Caenorhabditis elegans: one gene and its partner. The protein of the gene in region 1 purifies or fractionates together with the protein of each later gene. This does not show direct contact. Each region holds a gene or a part of one and is shown in the gene's direction. Other genes may lie near its edges.

Region 1 (6,864 bases):
AAGCTGAGGGCCGTATGACATATCTAAACTGAAATGGAGTTATTCGAAATATTTTATATAAATTTCTGTCGGATATTTATGCATGTTGTCTAAAAACATAGTTTGGAAGAATCGAACAAAATTAATTTTAAAAAAAATTTAAATAAGAAAATCAGCACATTCGAGGACTAACATTTGTGACAAGCCTACGCGCTCCATTGAACATGAAACTTTGACTTTTTCCAGGTGTTCCTAAATTGATGATGAATCCCAAATATTTTCTTGAATATTTTCTTAATATGTTTATTAATATATTAAAATTGAAAATGTATTAAAATTATTGAGGTAAATCTATAAAATCAGGAAAAATTCTATCATTGTTCGGTGGCCTAGAAATTGGGGTCTAGGTTTCTCATGACCGAACTTGACGAATCCACGTTCTTTCAAAGCTTGTTCTTGTTTTTATGCTTCGTAATCGATTTTCTGAAATACATGTTTTGAAACGCATATCTTTCGTTTGTCATACATTGGAAACTTTTATTTAAACGATTATTCAAACCCACGTAAAATGAATAACTTGTTTTTACAGAGAATTAAACACGAATGTCATGGTTGTCTAAAGTGTCCGATATTGCCGGAGCGGCCGAAAATCTTTTGAATAAACTTGATGAAAAGGCAAATCTTGAAACTAATGTTTCTATGTACAGAATAAATGTTACAGACTGGAGACGCAATTCAAAATGCCAGAGATTCCGCTCCTCGAACACGTAAATCAAGTACCGCCAGCGTCTCAGCAACGATTATTTCGATGCCAGAACATGTTATCACTGAAGATTTCGGCAGACCGGCTCCATCTCTTCCCTCGAGAGCTCAGAGTGATTATACCGGAGCCGGATGGAGAGGAGGAAGAAATTATGAACAGTTCGTTATTCTGATTTTCTTCACATGTGTCATTTAAAATTTCAGGGGTAGTTCATCGACTCATCAGCCAGGAGTAACAGCAGCATCTGAAAGTTGGACGATGGTTTTAAACTCGAAAGAAGTAAAAAATGCAAAACCAGATGAAGATACACGAAGTCAGAGGAGTGTTGGAGGCCGTAGTGTTGCTAGTATTCGAACTACCTGTATGTTTTGACGATTCTTACGAAACTTTTGAATTTTGATTTTTCAGCAGAATTTGCGGGAAACGATTCGAGTCCCAATTTTAAATCTCAATTATTTGCAAAGGATTCTCAAATATCAGTATTAAAAACGAAACTTTCTGAAGTGGAAAGAAAATTTGAAAAACGTAGTCAAGATTATTACGAGATGAAAGCTGAAAAGGAAATGTTAGAGAAGAGAGTTGAAAACCAAAAAGTATCAAGTCATGAAATGGATAGTCTTCAAGAATTGAAATTAGCCAGGTAATTATATTAACATCTTGACGTGTTGTTTTGCATTTAATTCAAGTTTTCTAGACAAAAAGCACAAGATCAAAAAGAGAAAGCAGTGGAGGAGTGTAACATGCATAAGAGAAAAATAGTTGGTTTGGAAGAAGAAATTCGTGCGATGGTCGAACAGTTGAGGCTGGCAAAGTTCAATCTGAATGAGAACAAAAAAGAATTTGATGAGTACAAGAACAAGGCGCAGAAAATTTTGACAGCTAAAGAGAAACTGGTGGAGTCGCTGAAGTCAGAGGTTTGAGAGATTTGACCGAGGATTGATATTAAAATTCAATTCAGCAAGGAATCGGATCCAGTGATCGTCCTGTTCATCTTCTTCAAGCTGAAGTTGAAGAGATCAGAGTTGAAAGAGACCTTACAAAAGCCGATTTAGAATCTGCACAACTTCAAGTTTATACCTTGAGATCTGATATGGAAGAATTGGAAGCTCAGATAAGGTAAGGTTTTTCCTTAAATTTTTCACATTTCGGATTTATGACGAAAATTCAAATTCTCTCCCATACTCGATGGTCGAGCTTTTAATTAATAGCTTTTTAATTTTTTAATTCAAAAAAAAGAGGCTTTTTTGAGAAATTCTTAGTACTGTTCCAATTTCCACTTTTAAGAGATCTCCAATCTCAATTGTCGGACCAAAAACGAACTCATCTCGAGGAGAAGCAGACATGGGATAGCACAATTGGTCTTCTAAACGAGAAAGTGGAATGTTCAAGAATTGAAAATGAGTTCACAAAACAAGAAATGAAAAGACAAGGTGATCAGCATCAATCTAAAATGCTCGAGAAGGAAAATGAGTTGAGAAAGACGATTAGCGACTTGCGTTCACGAATGCGAGATGAACAAACGAAGCAGGAAGATGATGGATCATCACAACTAACTGATCTTTTACTGCAGAAGCAACAACAATTGGAAGATGTTTTAAGAAATAATCAAGTGTTGAATGTGAGATTGGAAAGACTTCAGGTGAGAAACTATCAATTTATGAATATCAAAAGTTGTAATATTCTGTTTTTAGAAAGCTACAAATCGTGAAACATCGATTGCTGTGGACTCGAATTCATCTCCAATGCACACGTCATCATCTCATCCACTTCTATCAAATATCAATAATCCACAAACTCGAAATGCTCTTCACACTGTAGATTCGACGGCATTCAAATTGTTATCAATGCTCCGCGGACATCCATCAGCCCGCCTCTTTTTTGTTTTGTACTTTATCATAATGCATTTATGGCTTTTCTTCATTGTTCTCACGTATACCCCAGAGATTCATTGATTTAATCACGGTTGTGTTCCTTATTATGTATGTTTGTATAATATATTGGGATTAACATATACTGCATGGTTAGTTTTTACTTGGTTTAGTGTTTCTTTTCTTTTTTCGATTATTTTCCAGTGTGATACCCGCTGTTACTTTTCCCGTACCCCATTTTCGCTTTTTTTTTGTCCTAAAATAATTCATTCTCTTCAAAATACAATAATGACTGGTCTAGATCCGAACTATGTGAATAAAAATAAACATCAGCTAATGTAGGATTTTCCCTGTTTGTCTATAAAATTTTGCGGTTTTCATATAAATTTCCGCCTTCAATACATCTGAGATTATCGATTTTGCTGTCATTCTTGTCAATTTCATCCTCCATTTTCCATTTATTTGATTTCAAAACAAATAGCAGTGACGAATGTCGCCAATGATGAGGATGAAGAGACGCAGAGTGATAGGGGAAACTGTTTGAGTCATACTTCGATTTCTGTTTTCTACAACTCTTCAGTTCGTTTTCTTGCGATAAAAGTAGCAATGATTTCATTCATTTTTCCTTTTCTTGCGAAATTTTAGAATAATTATTGTCGGGAAAGAGTTTTAATATTTATTTAATCGTACTTTAGAAGTTTATACGAAATTTGTTTATTTTTAATTAATTTTTCGACATTTCAGAAATGTCTGCGAATCTCCCACCAGCATTCAAACCAATTGCTCACTACATAAAGATTGCTAACGAGAATGCAAGCCGCGATCCGGTCATTTATTACTGGTGTAAGTTATTTTTCAAATATTTTGACCAAACTATTCATTTGAACCGAATATCTCATTTTCCCCGCTTTTTTGTTTGAGCTTTTATCTAACTATTTGTAAATACTAACAGGGTTGTGCGGAAATTTTATTAAATACCAAGTAACGAAAATCTTTAAAAATTGTGAACTTTATCATCGCACAGCCCTGCTCTGTATGGCACTTGGTCCTGTGGAGACAACATTCGATGAAATATCGTGGAAACTACTTCAAACATCGATTCGCCTGGAAAAAGATCATATCAATGATAGAGATTCACTCCGAGAATATATTGATGAACCTGGTGGAGTTGTGAATAATTGTCAAAGAGCACAAAATATATCAATGGAAATTGAACAGAAAAATGTTTCGTGTGAAAAGCTGAGAGAAAAAATTGCAAAGATTAATCAGAAGATACTTATTGGAAAAGGAAAGCTTTCAGAAGTGAACGAAGAACTTTCCAAAAAGCAAAATTTTGAGGAGAGTTTGAAGCAGAAAATTGAAATTATGGAGCTACAAATAAATAAAAATCAGTCCAAAAAGGATAAAGAAGTGAAATCAATCAATGTATTGATCAGATTAGTTGCATATAGAAAGCTCACATTGATCAAAGAAGTCATGGACCTGTTCAAAGTGAAGATCGATGGAGGGCCAGCATCTGAAGCAATTACTACTAAAAACTGTCAATGTCAGCTAATCGATACGATCCGTGGACTTCATATTCCTCAAATCACTCACATTTTCAATCACTCGGAGGCTCCAACTCTAACCGCACTTCAAAATCTGACTCATCTCTTCAATGTGATTTGTAAAGTTCTACACTTTGCTCCAAAATATCCCATTCTGACAAATCTTCAAATCATCAACCCAATTGATCAGAAAAGTTCAATATTCACGGAGAAATGTTGGAAGAAGAAGGCAGATCGTGAGAAACTGATTGAGGGAATGTCCTGGTTGAGTAAAAATATCAGTCATCTTCGTGAAAGTTGTGGAATTCCGACAATGGCGACTGACAGAATTCTCGGAACACTTGAAGAATGGATTCGATTAGTTATTCGCAAGGAAACTGTTTTCGAGAGACCCATTAATAGTATCTTTAGTCCCGCAAACTTATTGATTGATTATCAAATTCCAAACATTTCCTACCATAGTTAGGTTATTCAGTTATTTCCTCTGTGAAGTGATCCCCGGAAGTCTGATTTATTCCATCAATCCTTTTTTACATTCCCAGTGTCCGTATGCTTTTGCAAATAAAAAACATTGTATAATTTCCTAATCTGAATTTATTCATTTTCTAAACATTTAATCCTCTACAGGTCTCTTCTATGCTGTTCAAACTGCCATGAAGCTTGATAAATCAACTGTCGAAGCACGTCAATATCTGACTGGACTTCTCACAACTCTTGAAGCGATTAAAACTCAATTGGCTGACAATGATGCTATTAAAAATGAGGTGAGATTTTAATTTTCAAATGACTGTATAAAAAATTTTTTCAGACAATTGCTCAAGCACACATTGAAAGTTTTGCTGAAAAGCTCTTCAACTTTGCCGACAAGAAAGAGAAAACAGGAAATGTTAGTTGATTTAAATTTGTTTTCTGAATCAGAAATATTTCGATTCAGTAGAAATCGAATTTTGATGTTTTCAAAAATGCTAATTTTAATAAGTAAACGAAAAAAATAATTTTTTTCAAAAACATGAGAAATGGCTAAAATATAATGAAAATGTTCCCCTCAAAAATCAAAGATTTTCGATCAGGGTGTCGGCGAAAAATTTTTCCATTTTTCCGTTTTTTTAGAGCAAAACCGAATTTTTTTTTCAGAAAATGCTTCTGAAAACCTTTAAAAATCGTTCTCTTTCAAAAAAAATTTAGTATTTATATTCCGGTTTTCCAACAACAGAAATTTCCCATTTTTCCAGGATGGAAAACATTAAAGCTTTTTTTTCGATTTATCAGTTTCTGAGCCAAATTTTAAAAAACTAAAAAATTTTGTTATTCAGCTATTCAGAAAAACCGGCAAAATCAGAATCAGAATTGAACTATTTCAGGTCGATAAATCCGTAGTCCACGCATTCTACACTGCAGGACATGTCATGGATATTCTTTCTCTGTTTGGAGAGGTAAGTAGATCTGAGTATTTATACTAATTAATTTATACCAAAAAACAAAAATAATACATTTCTTATTTTACCCAACTAAATTAAAAATTTTAAGAAGTCGGTTTTGTTTTTGGTTTTTTGGTTCGAAAAAATAAAAAAACAATAGTTCTGGTAGAAATATATTGAAACAAAGTTTTTTTGCAGATTGATGAGCCATTCCTTTCATCAAAGAAATATGCTAAATGGAAGAGCACACAGATTTTCACATGTTTGAGAGATGGAACACCTTATGTACCAAGTAGTCAAGAGACAGAAGATGCGGACGATGGTAGGCTTCGAGATTCTTCATAGAATTTTCAAGAAAAGCATTTTGAACTTTTAGATTTGTCACAGTTTGGAGCACAATTCCAACCAAATGCTCCATCTTCATCAGGGCCACAGGAGCACAGTTATAATCAACCACCGGCTCCTGGATTTGGATTTGGAGGTGGAATTCCGAATGTCCCATCAGGTTAGAAAATATTTGAAACAGAAAAAAAAATACACAGCTTAAAATTGAATAACTCGTTTCAAAAAAGTGAAGATAAAGGGTGTCGGATTTTCTTTTTTTTTGAAATCTAAAAACCAAAAATGAAAAAAGTGAAAAATTTTCGACGACATCCTTTTTTAGGATTTCAGAAACTGCATATATTTCTTTGCTTTTTTCAACGAAAAATTTTGATTCTGAATTATTCGAAGCAAAAATTAATAGATGTTCGGAAGATCAAAAATTTAATTTTCTTTTCAAAAATAATTGAATTCTGAACTTTTAAAGATCACTCTCTTCCACCACAACCACCTGCTCGCAACAATATTCCACCTCCATCGTATTCTTCAACTCCAAATCTTCCATCTCATACTCCATTTTCGGCTCCACCACCACGTAATCAGCCACAACAATACGAAGATTTCTCAACACCACAGCCTGTTGCCCCACCTGGCTCAGTGCCAACAGATGAGGAGTTCGCAGAGGTTCGAAAGCTTACAAAATATGCGATGAGCGCCGTCGATTACGAGGATGTTAAAGCGATTCGTGACAATCTGATTAAAGCTCTCACTATTCTCCAGAAATATTGATACATTTTGGTCATTATTTTCAAGTTCCCATGAAGCTTTGTCTCCAATTCCATCAAACACCACTTCAGTTTACTTCCATTTACGTGCCCCTTTTCTCCTTTTTCTCCAAAAGCCAAATTTGTATGTCTTATTTAAACAATTGATGGTGGGTTAGTCACTACTTCACCACCACCATCATC
Region 2 (5,895 bases), on another chromosome or scaffold:
TTTTCAGAAGTGGATTGAAACTCTTATCGGGATTGCAAAAAATGAAGGAGCAGACAACTCAGAGTCAAAATCTTCATTTGGTTTAGAATGCATGGGTACAGTTGCTGAGCTCAAAGTTGCTCCGTGGGCAAAGTGAGCTTTTTGAGTTCGGAATTCCAATCAAAAACTTAAATTATAGAATAATTCAATCTGAAAATCTTGTTCCTTGGATGAAAACTCAACTTCAAGAAGGAATTGATGAATCCGAAGAAGTGACAGTACTTCGAGACATAAAACCTCTCCAACTACAAATTGTAATTGCTTGTGGAACAATGGCTAGGCAATTGGATGCAGCTAGGTTATTGGCTCCTTTGATTGATACATTTGTGCAGTTATTACAATGTACGTTCATAAATTTAAGTTATTTTTTAAGAGTTTGTTTCATAATAAAACCCCAGTAACTTTTGAAAACATAAAAGTTCATTTTTCCTCACAATCAGATTTAAAGGTGGAGCTTTGCCAGTTGGTAAATTACAAAATGGAAATTATTGAAACTAGTTGTGTTTCAATTGTATTTGAACATTCTAGGAAATCGAACATGTAAAAATGTTCAAAATTACTCAAAAAGTACATATTTTTGGAAGTAATTGGCAAATTAACAAATCTTCAGCTAAATCTTTTTTAAAATCTAACGTTTTTGAAGTGTTTTACTGGTGTCATTTTGATCTTTTTTGGGTGTATCGAGAATACAAATAAATTACTGAAAAATATCGCAATCTTTTTTTCAGCATGCCAAATTGATGATGAGTTTGTTGTGCAACTTCTCTACGTTTTCTTGCAATTTTTAAAGCACAAGGTATAACGTTTTAGAGTTTTTTCAACTCTCATATAAATTTTTCAAAGGAACTATCTGCTCGCCTGATGACTCAAGATTCAGCTCTCGGAGCCCATATGATCGATTTGATGCACGATGCAAACGCAGTGGTTCGAGAAGTTTGCGATAATGCCCTTTTGATAATGGGTGAACATTCAAAAGAATGGGCAAAACGGATAGCTGGAGAGAGATTCAAATGGCACAATGCACAATGGTTGGAGATGGTTGAGGTATGATCGTAGTTATTTTAACAATTTATTCGTTGATTGGTACAAATAATATTATGATACTGGTCACTATACAAATATACTATACAAGGTTTTGGAAATTTAACGTCACTAGCATTTCCTAGTTTTATTTCTGTATAAAAATACTTTCAAAAACGAAGACACTCTGACTATCCCGTTAAAAATATGTATCAAAAACATCATTACTTTAAATGAATCTATTTAGTAGTTTACGGTGAGTGTTACGGTAGAAACAGGATAGCAGTAATGCAGCTTGAGTTACATTACATTAATATAGGCTCTAAAGTCACCGGTTAAAAATCGTTTTTCCAGCGAGACGACAGCGAATTCGTAGATTACGATGATGAAGATTTTGGAGCTGATCTCAAATTTGATCACTATGATGATGGATTTGATATGAATGAGCCCCTTTTTTAACTTTTGTTTGTTGTTTTTTTAACCTACAAATTATATATTTTTACTTAATAAATGAATGTTTTGATTTATATGCAAAAAATTAAAACAAAATTCACGTATAAATATTTATCTTTTGAAAGGTCAAATTTTCTCTGGCCATGTAGTGTTTCACATTTAGTGTTTCATTCCTCGAAGTGACTGCTTCATTTTATTCAAAAATGAACAATTCTTCAAATGTTACAACTGCAATAATTTCGGTAAGTTGTGAAACTTTCAATCTTGTGAATCTTAAAGGTGGAGTGAATGGGGACACATATAGTACTTGAAAGAGTCTAGGACTCAAAAATGCCACAGAAGAAAATAAGAGAAATTATTAAGAGACCATGAGATCATGAGAATGCCTACCGTTTTGGCGCGGGAATATCTCGTAGCGAAGGTACCTAAATTCTCATCGCCGCATGTTCTTACAATTAGATTACTCTAGATATCCGAAGAATCTCTCCTGCCGCCATTTTCGCGCCAGAAAGTAGACATTCTCATGCACCGATGGTTTCTTAATACTTGACACGTTTAATTTGAAGTGGAATCTAGTTGCATCGTGGCTGGGAACCTCATTAGCAGTTCTCATGTTAATCGGATTTTCAGACAACAACGATCGATAACTTACTCAAGCAACACCAGTGTGAATATTTTCATTATAATAAACTGGCACTTGGATTATGGATTGTAGCTTCTGCACTTTGCTTCATCGCGTTGTTGAGTACCATTTACTCGGTTTTCAACGCATTTCAACTATGGAGTACGATACAGGATTTGGATAATGCAATCATCGATTTGATTGACGAGGCAAGTTCAACTCTTCAGAAATTGCCCTTTTCGATAGTTGTGAATTGAACACCTCTCTTTTGGATACTTCTACAAAACATTATATTCACACATACAATACACTTGTAGGTTACTGTAGATATCCGAAGAGTCTCTGAAGTACTATCACGACTCTCAAGTCAAATGATGAAAAACTAACGAATAAACTGTAGTTTCGAACTTCTATAATGTTCCGATACAAAAATAAACATTCGATAAGGTTATTTTTAGAAAAAATTGGTTTTGGTCAATGCCCCAAATTATGATAGAAAAGTTTTCATAAAAAGTTATTTAATTTTACTAGTTTCAGGCGTTGCAAATTCTCCTTCCAATCGAAATCTGCAAACAAATCTGTCATCCTAATCATTTGGGTTCTGTCAATGTGAACTACTCGACAAATGGACAAAAACGTATGTCTTTCTCTGTATCTGTCTCTCCAAAATTCATTATTTCAGAGGAAACAAAACCAGGAAAAAAAGATAATCGATATCCAGAAGATGTCACATTTCCACCATCTGATATTGAACGTGTTTATGACACGATGGGAGGTAAGAATCAGAACTCGGTTATTGTTTAGTTGCCATACGCTCCAATTTTCGGCAACCAGCAACTTGGTTGCCCTGGTGGTCAGATAGACAGGGAGTAGGTATTGAGGGGGGTTGTGCAAGTCGGCAAAGCCGTAAGATGTAGGGATGAGGTGGACACGTACGCAGGCAGGTGTGAAGTAAGTATTAGGTAGGCAGAAGGAAAGGGACTGGTGAAGTGTCTGTCTATTTCTTGCAAATAATCGAAATCAATTTTCAGATGAAGATACTCGTAAATCGAAGACTATGACACTTGGAACTATTGAAGAGGTTTGTATGTTCACTCGAGTGTTTTCATTCATTTCAATCAATTTTCAGCCTGCTCCAAAATCGGCCATGCTCAGCTTACAGAAGACACCAAAGGAGAGTGAGACTGATCTGGTTCGTTTTTTATTTTTCGAAATATTTTTTAGCTTTTGTAGTACTCCAAGATCTTGAGCAAAAGTACAACCAATTTTTCAGAAAAAGACATTGCCACGTTCTCCTCCTCCAATTCCGAATCGTAAGCAGCCGTCTCGTGAGATCATGTTGACTCCGAAGCAATCTACAAAGACTGCAAATGCTGGAGGAAGAAGCAAGGAGCCGTCGTTGAATACTGCAATGAGCCAAGAGGCAGGAAATATCGAACCACGAAAGACTCCGAGTAAAGATACAATTGGAAGTACTGGAGTATTGCCATCAAATCAGGATAAGAAGACTCCGAGCAAGGAGAAGGAAAGTGTTAAAAATGTAAGCAACTGAAGAATGGTCCATGATGTTTTGTAATGCTCTTTTTTCAGACACCTGCTCCGACCCCGAAGCTAGGAACTGCAGAGCCCATCTGAACTTTATAGATAAATAAATGCTGCTTTGAATTTTTTAATTGACAATCATTTACTAACTATTAACATCACAACCTCAAAAAGCTCTGAAAAAATGAGCTTCAAAATTCAAAACAATATTCAAGTAATTAAGAAAATCAGCACTTCGAAATAGCAGCTTCAACTGCATTTCTGATTGTTGTCATGGCGACAGATTGATCTGCAGCTTTGATGATTCCAGTTCCACTCACGATCGCATTGGCTCCAGCTTGAGCAGAGATTTCAATATTTTCAGGTGTTACTCCTCCGTCAACTTGAATAGTCAGATTTGGATATTTTGAACGGATTGTGCGAACCTGAAAGCCATAAATTTTATTCGTATCAAATAAAAACCAAAATAAATACCTTTTCCATCATGTTTTCCATGAACTTTTGTCCTCCAAATCCTGGTTCCACAGTCATGATAAGAGCATTATCCAAATGATTAGCATGTCTAAAAAGTTTTTTAATTTAAAATCTAGATTGAAATATAATTTTGATTTTACTTCAAAATATGCTCAACAGAAGTTCCCGGTTTGACCGATAATCCCACTTTCATTCCACTTTTTCTGATTTTTTCGATCAATTCACTGACTGCCACATCACCATCTACAGCCTCATAATGGAATGTGAACTGGCTGGCACCAGCTTTTGCCATCGGTTCAACCCACTGTCCAGGATTAGAGACCATCAAATGAACATCGAAGAATGGTTCAGCACCAAGAGATTTACGAAGAGATTCAACGACAGGGTGACCGAATGTGAGGTTTGGTACAAAGTGACCGTCCATCACGTCGAGGTGAAGCCTGCAAGTTGGGAGCTGGATACTATGGGAACGCAGAAAGTAAATCCTTTGAAAATCCAAGTGGAAACGTTACTTACTTACTGCTAAATGAAAACGCTCCGCCCCTCGAACCATGGGTCTCATTAGGTATTGACATTGATAGTTTAAGCGTTTTCAATTAGTCCTGCCAATTTGTGTTTGAAGATGAAAACAATTTCAATTTGCGATTTTGTGGCCAAATACCTAACGAGACCGTAATCTCGGGGGGTCGGAGCGTTTCCAATTGGCCGTGGAGTACGTTTCCATGTTGATTTCAGAAGAGGTTTTTGTGCGTTCCCATTTAGATTTTTGAAATCTAAAGGGACATTTAAATATGAAAGTAGTTGTCAAAACTATTCAGAATTTCTAAAGATCACCTTACCAATCTGCTCCAGCTGCTAAAAGTTTCTTGCATTCAGAAGCCAATGATGCAAGATCGGCATTCAGAATTGATGGACACACAAATGGACGGAGGGTCATCTGAATTCTAGATAAATAAATTTTATCATCCAGAATCAATGAACAAATAAAGTTATAGAATTAAACTTTCAACTGTAAACTTTCAAAAAAATCTTTAAATAATACTTTAATTCATAAATATGTATACCCAATTGTTTCACATCGAGAAAAAAACGAAAAAGCCAAGAACTCCATTATACTCGAAAGATTACAAAACGAGAAAATTATTTACAAGTAAAAATTAGAAAAACGGTGAGGAATATCACAATGAAAGTGGTGTGCGTTGTATGAAGGGACAAGGGAATAGTACAAAAATCGATTATTCTTATCATTCAGTTTCTATTTTTCATTGACACAAAGTAATAACAACTCGAAAACTTGATAAAAAGTTACGACTGCCGATTGTTAAATTTCTTCGAAAAATACGAAAATCGGAGTTCGAAAAAGTTTTTGAGTTTTTTTTTGATATTTGAAACTGATTAATTGATAATCCAGAAAATTGTAAAAATAAGGCACGATGAGATGACGGCAGCAAGGATCAGTGTGTTCTTCTGCTTTTTCGTTTTGATTTTTTGCATCAAATTGTTAATTGCAGGATATTTTTCTAAAAAAAGTTGTTTTGATAATTATTATGCAGCTTGTAAAACTGTTTTTCAAAAATGTTGAGTCTCAGTTGAAAGGAGGAATTTTTTTTTGAAATTTTTTCGGCTTTTTGGAGAAATTCTAACTTTTGTTTTTCGGTCCAAATTTCAAATAAATTTTTTGTTGTTTTTTTTTAAAGATTTTTTGTCAAAAAACTGTATTGCAAGAAATTTGAACTCAAGTTTAT

The links. Proteins that work in one complex are often made in the same cells at the same time.
Region 2: the proteins of T23G11.7 (region 1) and F08F8.6 fractionate together in Caenorhabditis elegans (co-fractionation; one large-scale study listed by BioGRID). This does not show direct contact.

Annotation. Positions count from the first base shown.
Region 1 is NC_003279.8:7,676,100-7,682,963, forward strand, and holds T23G11.7 (HAUS6_N domain-containing protein), read left to right. Parts: upstream 1-3,348; 5' UTR 3,349-3,356; coding exon 3,357-3,453; intron 3,454-3,634; coding exon 3,635-4,623; 3' UTR 4,624-4,734; downstream 4,735-6,864. Other genes in the region: F26A3.7 (uncharacterized protein), read right to left, coding at 1-21; golg-5 (Golgin-84), read left to right, coding at 583-654, 701-900, 946-1,103, 1,151-1,382, 1,437-1,656, 1,701-1,858, 2,027-2,381, 2,434-2,694.
Region 2 is NC_003281.10:7,342,056-7,347,950, forward strand, and holds F08F8.6 (uncharacterized protein), read left to right. Parts: upstream 1-1,633; 5' UTR 1,634-1,715; coding exon 1,716-1,754; intron 1,755-2,142; coding exon 2,143-2,343; intron 2,344-2,671; coding exon 2,672-2,771; intron 2,772-2,816; coding exon 2,817-2,909; intron 2,910-3,165; coding exon 3,166-3,215; intron 3,216-3,263; coding exon 3,264-3,326; intron 3,327-3,407; coding exon 3,408-3,674; intron 3,675-3,724; coding exon 3,725-3,769; 3' UTR 3,770-3,800; downstream 3,801-5,895. Other genes in the region: kap-1 (Kinesin-associated protein), read left to right, coding at 8-132, 179-381, 768-835, 883-1,083, 1,414-1,518; F08F8.7 (Ribulose-phosphate 3-epimerase), read right to left, coding at 3,904-4,101, 4,151-4,238, 4,291-4,590, 4,990-5,087; gos-28 (Golgi SNAP receptor complex member 1), read right to left, coding at 5,546-5,670.